Macaca mulatta: one gene and its partner. The protein of the gene in region 2 interacts with the protein of the main gene of each other region in a pairwise test. Links are inferred from orthologs where the notes say so. Each region holds a gene or a part of one and is shown on either strand. Other genes may lie near its edges.

Evidence for each region.
Region 1: the proteins of MOCOS (region 2) and PARVA interact in binary tests that used the Homo sapiens proteins (3 or more experiments, as listed by UniProt). The two-hybrid records come from large-scale screens. The link is inferred for Macaca mulatta from reciprocal best matches to the Homo sapiens genes MOCOS and PARVA.

The regions. Positions count from the first base shown.
Region 1 is NC_133419.1:52,943,764-52,947,941, forward strand, and holds part of PARVA (alpha-parvin), read right to left. Parts: intron 3,119-4,178; coding exon 3,099-3,118; intron 1,550-3,098; coding exon 1,488-1,549; intron 845-1,487; coding exon 776-844; intron 1-775. UniProt on the Homo sapiens protein: Plays a role in sarcomere organization and in smooth muscle cell contraction. Required for normal development of the embryonic cardiovascular system, and for normal septation of the heart outflow tract.
Region 2 is NC_133423.1:56,323,830-56,328,514, forward strand, and holds the start of MOCOS (molybdenum cofactor sulfurase), read right to left. Parts: upstream 3,360-4,685; 5' UTR 2,717-3,359; coding exon 2,569-2,716; intron 1-2,568. UniProt on the Homo sapiens protein: Sulfurates the molybdenum cofactor. Sulfation of molybdenum is essential for xanthine dehydrogenase (XDH) and aldehyde oxidase (ADO) enzymes in which molybdenum cofactor is liganded by 1 oxygen and 1 sulfur atom in active form.

The DNA.
Region 1 (4,178 bases), on a different chromosome or scaffold from region 2:
GAAGTGTTTTTTCCAACCACATGACGTTGCCATTTTAGTAGGTTAAAAACAGTCGGCTGGGCGTGATGGCTCATGCCGATAATCCCGGCACTTGGGGAGGCCAAGGTGGGTGGATCACCTGAGGTCAGGAGTTCAAGACCAGCCTGACCAACACGGTGAAATCTCGTCTCTACTGAATACAAAAAATTAGCCGGGCATGGTGGCACATGCCTGTAATCCCAGCTACTTGGGAGGCTGAGGCAGGAGAATCGCTTGAACCTGGGAGGCAGAGGTTGCAGTGAGCCAAGATCTTGCCACTGCACTCTAGCCTAGGCAACAAGAGTAAAACTCTATCTCAAAAAACAAAACAAAACAAAACAAAAAACAAAAAAAAGTCGAATGTCAGCAATTTCATAAGATTCAATCTAAATAGATTAATGTATTATGTTAAAATGGCCTGTCTTTGATAACCGTATTGTGGCTATCTAAGAGAATGTGCTTGTTCTTGAGAGACGTATGCTCAAGCATTTAGGGGTGCAGAGAAAGGTGTGGCCAGATACTAATAATCGGTGCATCCAGGTGAAGGGTATATGAGTATTCATTCTTGTAACTTTTCACCATAAAAATTTGGAAAAAAATCCGCAGAGATTCAGTCCACCCCTCAGAGTAGGACAGATCCCCATGCCCTCATTCCCCTCAGCTGGGAAAGCCCTCCTGGCCATGTGTGGTGGACCACTTGGAACAGGGGCTGTAGGGCAGGGCCCTGCCTCCACCTGTGCTAGGGTCTGTCACCCACCTGGGTTTCCAGTTCTGTGACCTCCAGGTTCAGTTTATTCAGGTGCTTGTTCACGAAAGTGATGAGTGTCTAAAAGAGAAGCAAAGCAGGCCCAGAGCTGGGGATTTGCACTAGTACAGGAGCCCGCGGCTGCCCCATGACTCCCATGAGGGTGAGGGTGAGGGCGAGGGCGAGGGTGAGGGTGAAAGCACGGGATCAGGCCCAGCCAAGAGCCCCGGGCCCAGAAGGTCTCTCTGCAAAGGCCCTTGAGTGCACAGGGAGGGCCACAGGCTCTAGGTCTTGCAGTCCCATACAACTCAGGGTGTGTAAGGAACAAGGAGGTCCCAAGAGGCAGAATGACAGGTGGAGTGTCTGAGTGGGGAACTGAGATAAAAAGATTCCACTGGCTCTCTCCATCCTGTCCTTTCTTCAGCACACGTGCCTAGGCCAGGGAGACAGGGAATTCTGTGAGGAGCGGGGAAGACTGGGATTGCTGGGGTTAGCCTGGGTGGGAAGACAGGCTGCTCATGCTGATGGAGAGGAAAAAGCCCGGGTGCAACATTCAGTAAGGAACGGACAGGTACATGGATGACAAGGGGGAAAGCCGTGTGTGTGCAGAGATTAGGTGATGCCATCAGTTCCAGCAGGAAGCTCCCGAGCTGCAGGGATGGGTTTTCCCAATGTCCTGCTGCACCTCGCTTCCCTCTCTCTGTCCTAGACACCCCTTTCCCACCTTTTTCACCACATTCAGCTTGTCTGGGGCGTGGTCGAACAAGGTGTCAAAGGCATCACGTTCTGAAAAACAGGGAAACACAACATGGAGCCCAAGAGCCGGTTCCTGGCAGGGAAGCCCACCTCGGGCCCCAGAGCCACAGGCCTCTCAAGGTCACAAGGTCAATGACTGATGGGAAGCCTCTGGGGTACAGACTGCTGGGAACTCTGGAATGTGATTTGGGACTAAGATTTGGGGGGATTCTCACCCTGGGAGCCTGTGTCTGTGTCCATGCACATGTACATTATTGGGTTGGGGCAGACTCAGGGTTCTCTTAGGCAGTGTGACCCCGGATTAGTCATTTCCCTTCACTGTATTCCATTATATCCTGATTTAGCTATTGTTCAGGTGTTTCTGAACCTCAGTAGAGGGGGAATGTTATCCAAATATTAAATCATTTCACCCCCCAATTTTCAAAAACAGGAGACCCATGACAAACAAGCTGGCAGAGGGCACAGAGAAGAGGGCTGGGAGCCAGGGAGCTCCAGGATGGGGTATGAGCTCTTCCTCTTAAGTGATCTAGGCCACTTCAACTCTTTGTGCCTTAGTTTCCTCTTCTATAGAATGTTATTTTAAAAATAACCCTCCCTTAGGTTTGTCATGAGGATGAAGGGTGAGAACAAGCATGCGCGTGCTCTGTAAACTCCGACATGGTCTCCTGAAGGGAATAATTTTTAGCATGGTTGAAATATTTCAAAATATTACCCACAGTAAATATCAGGATCATAGAAAATAGCAAAGCCATGTTCCCTGCAGGGATTCTCCTTGCTGCAGCCTCTATGTTAGGAGCTGCGATGAGGGAAGGAAGAGAAGACAGTCTCTAGAAGGACAGAGTGGTGAGAGGGGACAGTCCCTGTGTTCGTGCATGTCTTCCTTTATTTGCATGAGATAATTAGTGCAAACCTGCCCTGAAAATGCCCAGGACCCATCCAGAAGCCTCGGGCAAGCTAATGAATCTTTCTGGGCTCCAGGTCTCTCATCTCTAAAATGAGGATAATTACAGTAAATATTTCAGTGGGATGTTATAAGCATTAGATGACTTAATATCTAGAAATACTTTAGCATACTTCCTAGGACATAGTAAATGCTCAAAACATTTTTTTTCGGAGGACACTTTTGGTTCTCTTTATGATTATTATATTGGTTTATCCATCTGCACACCTATCATTCACTAAATAAGCACTTGCAAGTAGTGTACTGGAAAGAATAAACAACTTGGAGTTAAGTGCTGGATAAACCAAGATCATAATCTCCTCCCTCACCCTTGGGCTGTGGGGTCTCAGGGGGTATAATCGTGGCTTCATATGTTTACTGTGAACAACAATAGCTGCAAAAGTGCTTCATAAATGGCAAGGTCAATGGCCTGATAAATTTCAAGATGACTGCGCAGGTGTAGGTAGTCTTCTTCCCACCAGTAAGCTGTCCCTCCCAACCCAACTGGCCATGTCAGCCAGGCTGGTGCAGACATATATCCAGGTGGCAAGCTGAGGGCCTGTTCTTCCCAGCTGCTGCAGAATTAACTAAAGCCCCAGTGCAGCCACCAGTGCCAGGGGACATTCTTATGCGACTTACCATGCCTCCCGGAAAGAGCCCTGGAGAAAAAAGAGAAAGAAAATAGTGTGACTCTTTTCTTGTCCCTTACAAGAGGCCAATCCTCTGAAGGGACACTCCATCATTGCTGGAAGCCCACCCCATGCTGCCTGCCACCCACCTGCCCTTGGTTGAGGAACTCAAAAAGCCTCCTTCCATTGACATTTTATTCTGCACGGCCTCCAATTATTGAGACTTTACCACATTACCACCCATTTTTTCCCCGTTACACGGACATAGTGGTGTAATGCAAAATCTGGCACAGTGATGCCCAAAGGATTACTTTTTGCCTTAAATAAAATCATATTATTGCTTGTAGTTAAAGAATATCGGACTCAGGGGGCTGAAGATTTCCAACCAGAAAGTCTTAGGATTCTTATGAGTGAGCTCAGACAACCCCTCAATGTAGAATTTTACTGCCTAGGTTGCTGTGGGCAGGTCAGCTTTGTTTCTCTCCTGTCCATCCTGTAGTACCCACCAAGATGCACGTGCCATTGACCCAGGGTAGGTTTTCTCAAAGAGTGCAGGAACTGGAACCACACTCATAGCAGAGAAGCAGCATAGTATCAAGAGCACAAGCTTTAAAGACAGATCATTGAGGTTCAAATTGCACCGAGTGATTGAGTGATTTTTTTGCTGTGTGACTGATACGGTTTGGCTGTGTCCCTACCCAAATCTCAACCTGAACTGTATCTCCCAGAATTCCCACGTGTTGTGAGGGACGTAGGGGGAAGTAATTGAATCATGAAAAGACTAATTGAAACTGGTCTTTCCCATGCTATTCTTGTGATAATGAATAATTCTCATGAGATCTGATGGGTTTATCAGGGTTTCCTCTTTTGCTTCTTCCTCATTTTCTCTTGCCACCACCATGTAAGAAGAGCCTTTTGCCTCCTGTCATGATTCTGAGGCCTCTCCAGCCACGTGGAACTGTAAGTCCAATTAAACCCTTTTTCATTCCCAGTTTCAGGTATGTCTTTATCAGCAGCGTGAAAACAAACTCATACAGTGACCTTGGGCAAGCTAATGAACCTTTCTGGGCACCAGGTCTCTCATCTCTAA
Region 2 (4,685 bases):
GTGAGACCTGGAAGCTGCTGGGGAGCGTCTCACACTGTGCCACAGTCTTCTGCAGGCCCAAGTAGCTATTGGAGAAAAAGCTGCTTTGGCTTTTGGTCCAACGGTTAATTTTGCAGGAAAAACAAAAGGGTGCGAAAGTTGTGTTAGATCAGTCATACATGTGATGTTAGGAGAAAGTCAGGCAGCATAGGGATTAATCCAAGTCAATCAACCCAGACTTGAATTCTGGCTCCACCACTAGCCACTCTGGGCCCCTGTTCCTTCATCTGCAGATGGGACAAAGGTTAAATGAGCTGGTATATGGCAGTACCTAGTCCAATGCTCGGGACACAGGTGTAGCTGCTATTAGAAACAGGTGAATGACACCAAAGTTAAATGGCATCAGATCTTCTTCAGGAAAGAGAATTCCAGAGTCAGCTCTAGGTCATCCTTGTCCAGTTCTCATTCCAGCATGATGAGTAGTCATCATTCAGCACGAAGGCTTCCAGAGACCCTTGACACACATCTGTGTATTCAATATGCTCCCTTCACAAAGGCAAGGAAGTTCCCATCCAAATCACTAGGTAACACATTTCAGCCCTTAAAGCTTAAGCATTTAATTATTCTGAGCTACTACTTAACCAGAGAATTCTCAAACTGGCAGAAAAACTTCATGAGGGGAGAGGAGCGAGCGAGGAAGAGATTATATTATTTTGGTTGGTTTTTCCTGCCCTCTCTCTGGCTTGTTTCTAGGAGAAAAACAAGTGGACATGTTCCAAGACTCCCAGCAGTGGGAGGGGCATCAGGTTAGTGCACAAATGTCCACTTTAACCATAATGTAGAGGAAACACGGGGAACTTGCATTAAATAAAAGATGCCCACAACACTACCAGAAATACAGTAAGCGGTAAAGGAGTTCTGAGGGCCAGTCTGGCTGACACATCCCAATTTTGCATTTGAGGGGGAATGTACTGTTCTTTGAGGAACAGGAGTGAAACCAGGAGGGGACAAGAATATAGCTCTACTTTCCCAGGGTAGCATTGAGGGGAGAGGTTGGCCAATAGTAGGCGTGAGAGATCACAGCTGGAGGAGATTTAGGGGATTAAGGAGGTGTGGTGCTGACATAATTACTCAGGTAGCCTTTAAGAGCTGCTTCAAAGAATGGAGAGCCTCCCTCCCCAGCACCTGTGGGCATTCATAGTCTCTGTCTATTTCTGAGTGGTAGGAAATTTCCATAATTAACAGATGAGAGAGACAGAATACAAAAGAAGGGTGAGGAGCTGTCTCCAGCAGGTGACCCTGGGACAGGGAAGGATGAGGAGTGAATAGACAGAGGCTGGCAGAAGGCACCCCTGTCTCCCTCCTGACTCTCCCTACTTAGGAAGCCAGAGGAGACACACAGGAGGAGGCCACAGTTCTCACAGTCCCCAAAGGGAAAACACAGTTACCCTCCACAGCACTAGGAAGTGACCCGGAGCGCTGAAATCAGCTACCCAAGTAGTGAAACCTAAGTCATGGTTGCTGTTCTGCCCGGAAAAGGGGAGTAGTTACCAGTTGTTCATTGCGACAGAGCAGATGCACTCAAACCCCGGTGCCCTGTGCCACGAGGTGCCCACTTCACCTGCAGACCCTCCCTGACCGTCCAGTAGGCGGCTCTGGGGCTTGATGAAGCCCTGCACCCAAAGTCCCTGTCACAGGGATGAGTCACTAACTTGGGCCCGGGCAGCTGAGGGCCGGGTGGGCCAAGGCCAGATGGAGCTTGATTTGCAATTTCATCAGCCTGTTCCGCTCTGAGGAAAGGCAGGATGTGATCTTGGTCTTCTTATCTAATTCACAGGCGCTCCCTGTTCTTAAAGGTGAAATCGCACTGTTTGCTAATTCTTCTAGTCCTCCAGCCAACTGGAGCTCAGAGGGATTGTTCTGACGCTGCAAGAGTGAGGAAAATGAGGTTTCGAAAATGAAAGCTGAATACGGGCTAACCCAGAGGAGTCTGCAGAGTGCAGCCTTGGGAGGCCCCTACCAGAAGGCCTTGGCCTCTGGGTGCCAACCTGGCGCGCCGGCAGGGGTGCTGTCCCAGCCCGGGCGCTGGCGGCCCACGCACCGCTCCTACCCCGGGCGGACATCCGAAGGGTCACGGCCGCTGGACATGCTGTCTTTTGCAACCCCGGCCCCAGCAGGCCCTTTAGAGTGAGGGGTCTCCCACAAGAGAGGGCAAGGACCATCCTAAGCCCTCTCGCGGAGGGCGGGAAAAGGGGAAGAGGGCTGGGTCAGTCCTGCCCACTGGAAAGTCTGAAGAGTAAGAGTAGCAAGAAGCCTTGGGGCTGCAGGTGGGACCTCAGGGAGCCATATCTACGAAGCGGACGCGTGGACACGTCGCTCCTGGAGTTTTGATTCAAAATGCGCCCCAATTTATTCAAAATGCCCCAGTGGCCTCTGCGCACTGACCACCCCAGCTCCCTCCCTCACTGCTGAATGGCCAGGACCTTACTTGACAAATTAGGTAGCGCCGCTCTCACTAGCAGCAAAAGAGCCGTCCACGTCGGTTTCAGAAACCTCGTGTCCCCACGCCTGCCCTCCCTCCCGCCTCACCTGCCAGGCGGCCGAACTCGCGCGCCCGCAGCTCGCGCAGGCTGCCTGGGCCGTAGCCGTAGCCGTAGGCTAGCCGCGGTGCGCTCGTGTCCCGGGACCCCGCGAAGGCCGGCAGCTCCCGCCCCGACTCCGCCACGGCGCCGGCCATGGCTCGGGTTCGTCCATCCAGGCTGACCCGGCCCGGGAAGTGCGCGAAGCCTGCCCCCGGCGACTCCGCCCCTGCCGCGCCTCCCGGGCCGCCAGCCTGCAGCCTCTCGGAATCCACGGCCTAGGTGTGGCGCCCCGGCCGGACTTTCACTTCTGGCCCGCCCTTTTCCCACCTGGCCACGTGAGCGGGTGCCAGTCTTTAAGCAACCTCTCGATGGGTCCCACGAAGATGTTTCCAGACCCTTGGAATGCTAAGTTCAACTTTAGCTATGTTCTGCGGAGAGGCTGGTGGAAGAAGCAACGAGGTGATCTTTCCTGCTTGGCATCCTGGAACCCAGCGACCCTCCTCCTCGCAGGGGTCCCGGGACCCTCACCCTCTCAAGCAGGTACCGGCGTCTTGCGGGGGCGGGGGGAGGGGGCGTTCTCGGGTTGCTGCTACCCAGCGGGGCGCGTGCTTGCAGTTTGTGAGAATGCGGCTGAGCAAAGGTTAGAAAAGGGAAAAGATCAGGGATCCACGAAGCTAATGAATTCTCAGTGGCTGCACACCGTCGGAACCGGGAGGCTCGGGGGCTTTCCCTGGAGCCGGCACAGCAACTCCACGTGAGCTGAGCTTCCCCTCCCTCCCAACCTCCCAACCGCGCACTGGGCCCTCCTCCCTGCCTCCCCACCCCTGCATCCCGCCCCGCACTTCCCGCACGTGGGTGTAGCCGGGCCCTCTCTACTGAGGCAAGAGTGCCCTAGGAAAAGCCGCCCCTGTCCCGGACAGGGAGTGGAATAAGAGCACCTCCTCCCATCCCTACTCGGGCCTGCACCCAGAGCACCGGAGACACAGCGGCTCTGTCTTGGACAACAGGTGCTTCAACTGGGAGGGCCTGGCCAAACCTTATGCGCGGGAAGTGCGGAGCGGGATGCAGGGATGGGGCGGCAGTTGCAGACGTAAAGCCCAGGCATGCGGTTGTGGGGTGGGGGGAATCTCACGTGTGATCCCAGGTGCGGAACCCGCTGCTGGGAATGGGGTGGAAGCAAAACAGGTACTGCACGCCCAGGCGAAGTGCCTCGTGGGGAGTCGAATGTCATGGGTGGTGGACAGTGCGGAACCCGCTGCAGATGGGAGGCAGGTGCTGGGGGCTCACGGGAAATAACTCAGAGGCAGGCTCCGTGGAGAACCCAAGGCGGGCGATCAGGTACAGGCGGCCACAGGCCCTGGAAGCATACAGCGTGGGGACGAGGTGGGAAGAAGGCGTATGCCCCAAGAGCTCAACCTGTGCTGCATCCAGGCCAGCTGTCACCCAGGGTATGGGCTGCAGATGCCCTAGGATCCTTGCTGAAGCATGATGCGTACTGGTGCCCAGCATGAGAGCCATGGGAAGGCAGCACACAGCCCTGGCTCTCTGGCCCAGGCCCCTGATACCAGGCCAGAGAAAGGCCCGTCACTAAGAGCTCATTTTCCCCTGGCCGGAGACCCGGGGTCTGTGGACTGCAGCGCTGGAGTCCATGCCCAGGTACCCGTATTCCTCAGCGGCCTCTGCCCACTGACCACCCCAGCTCTCTCCCCCACTGCTGAACGGTCAGGACCTTACTTGACAAACACGCATAGTTGTTCGAGGAGGAGTGAATGTACTGATGGATGGATGCAGGCTTTTGCTCATTGACATCACTGCCTACCCCACCATCTGCTTGCCTTCCGGCCATGCTTCAAGCAAGCACTTTAGATGCTGGACTGTCTTCTGCGAATGTGGCTTTGGGCAGCGCTAATAACAAGAGCTACATACAGGGCCTCACTGTGTGCCAGGCACTGCACTGTGTACACTCTTACCTGTCCTGGTCGTTCAATAATCAAATATGCAGATCTAGGAGGTTGCTCTTACAGATGGGGAAGTTGAGGCAGAGAGAGGCAGAATAACTTGCATAAGGGCACACAGCTAGAAGATAAGCTAGCAGCTGGGAAGTCAGCCTCCAGAGCCCAGGCA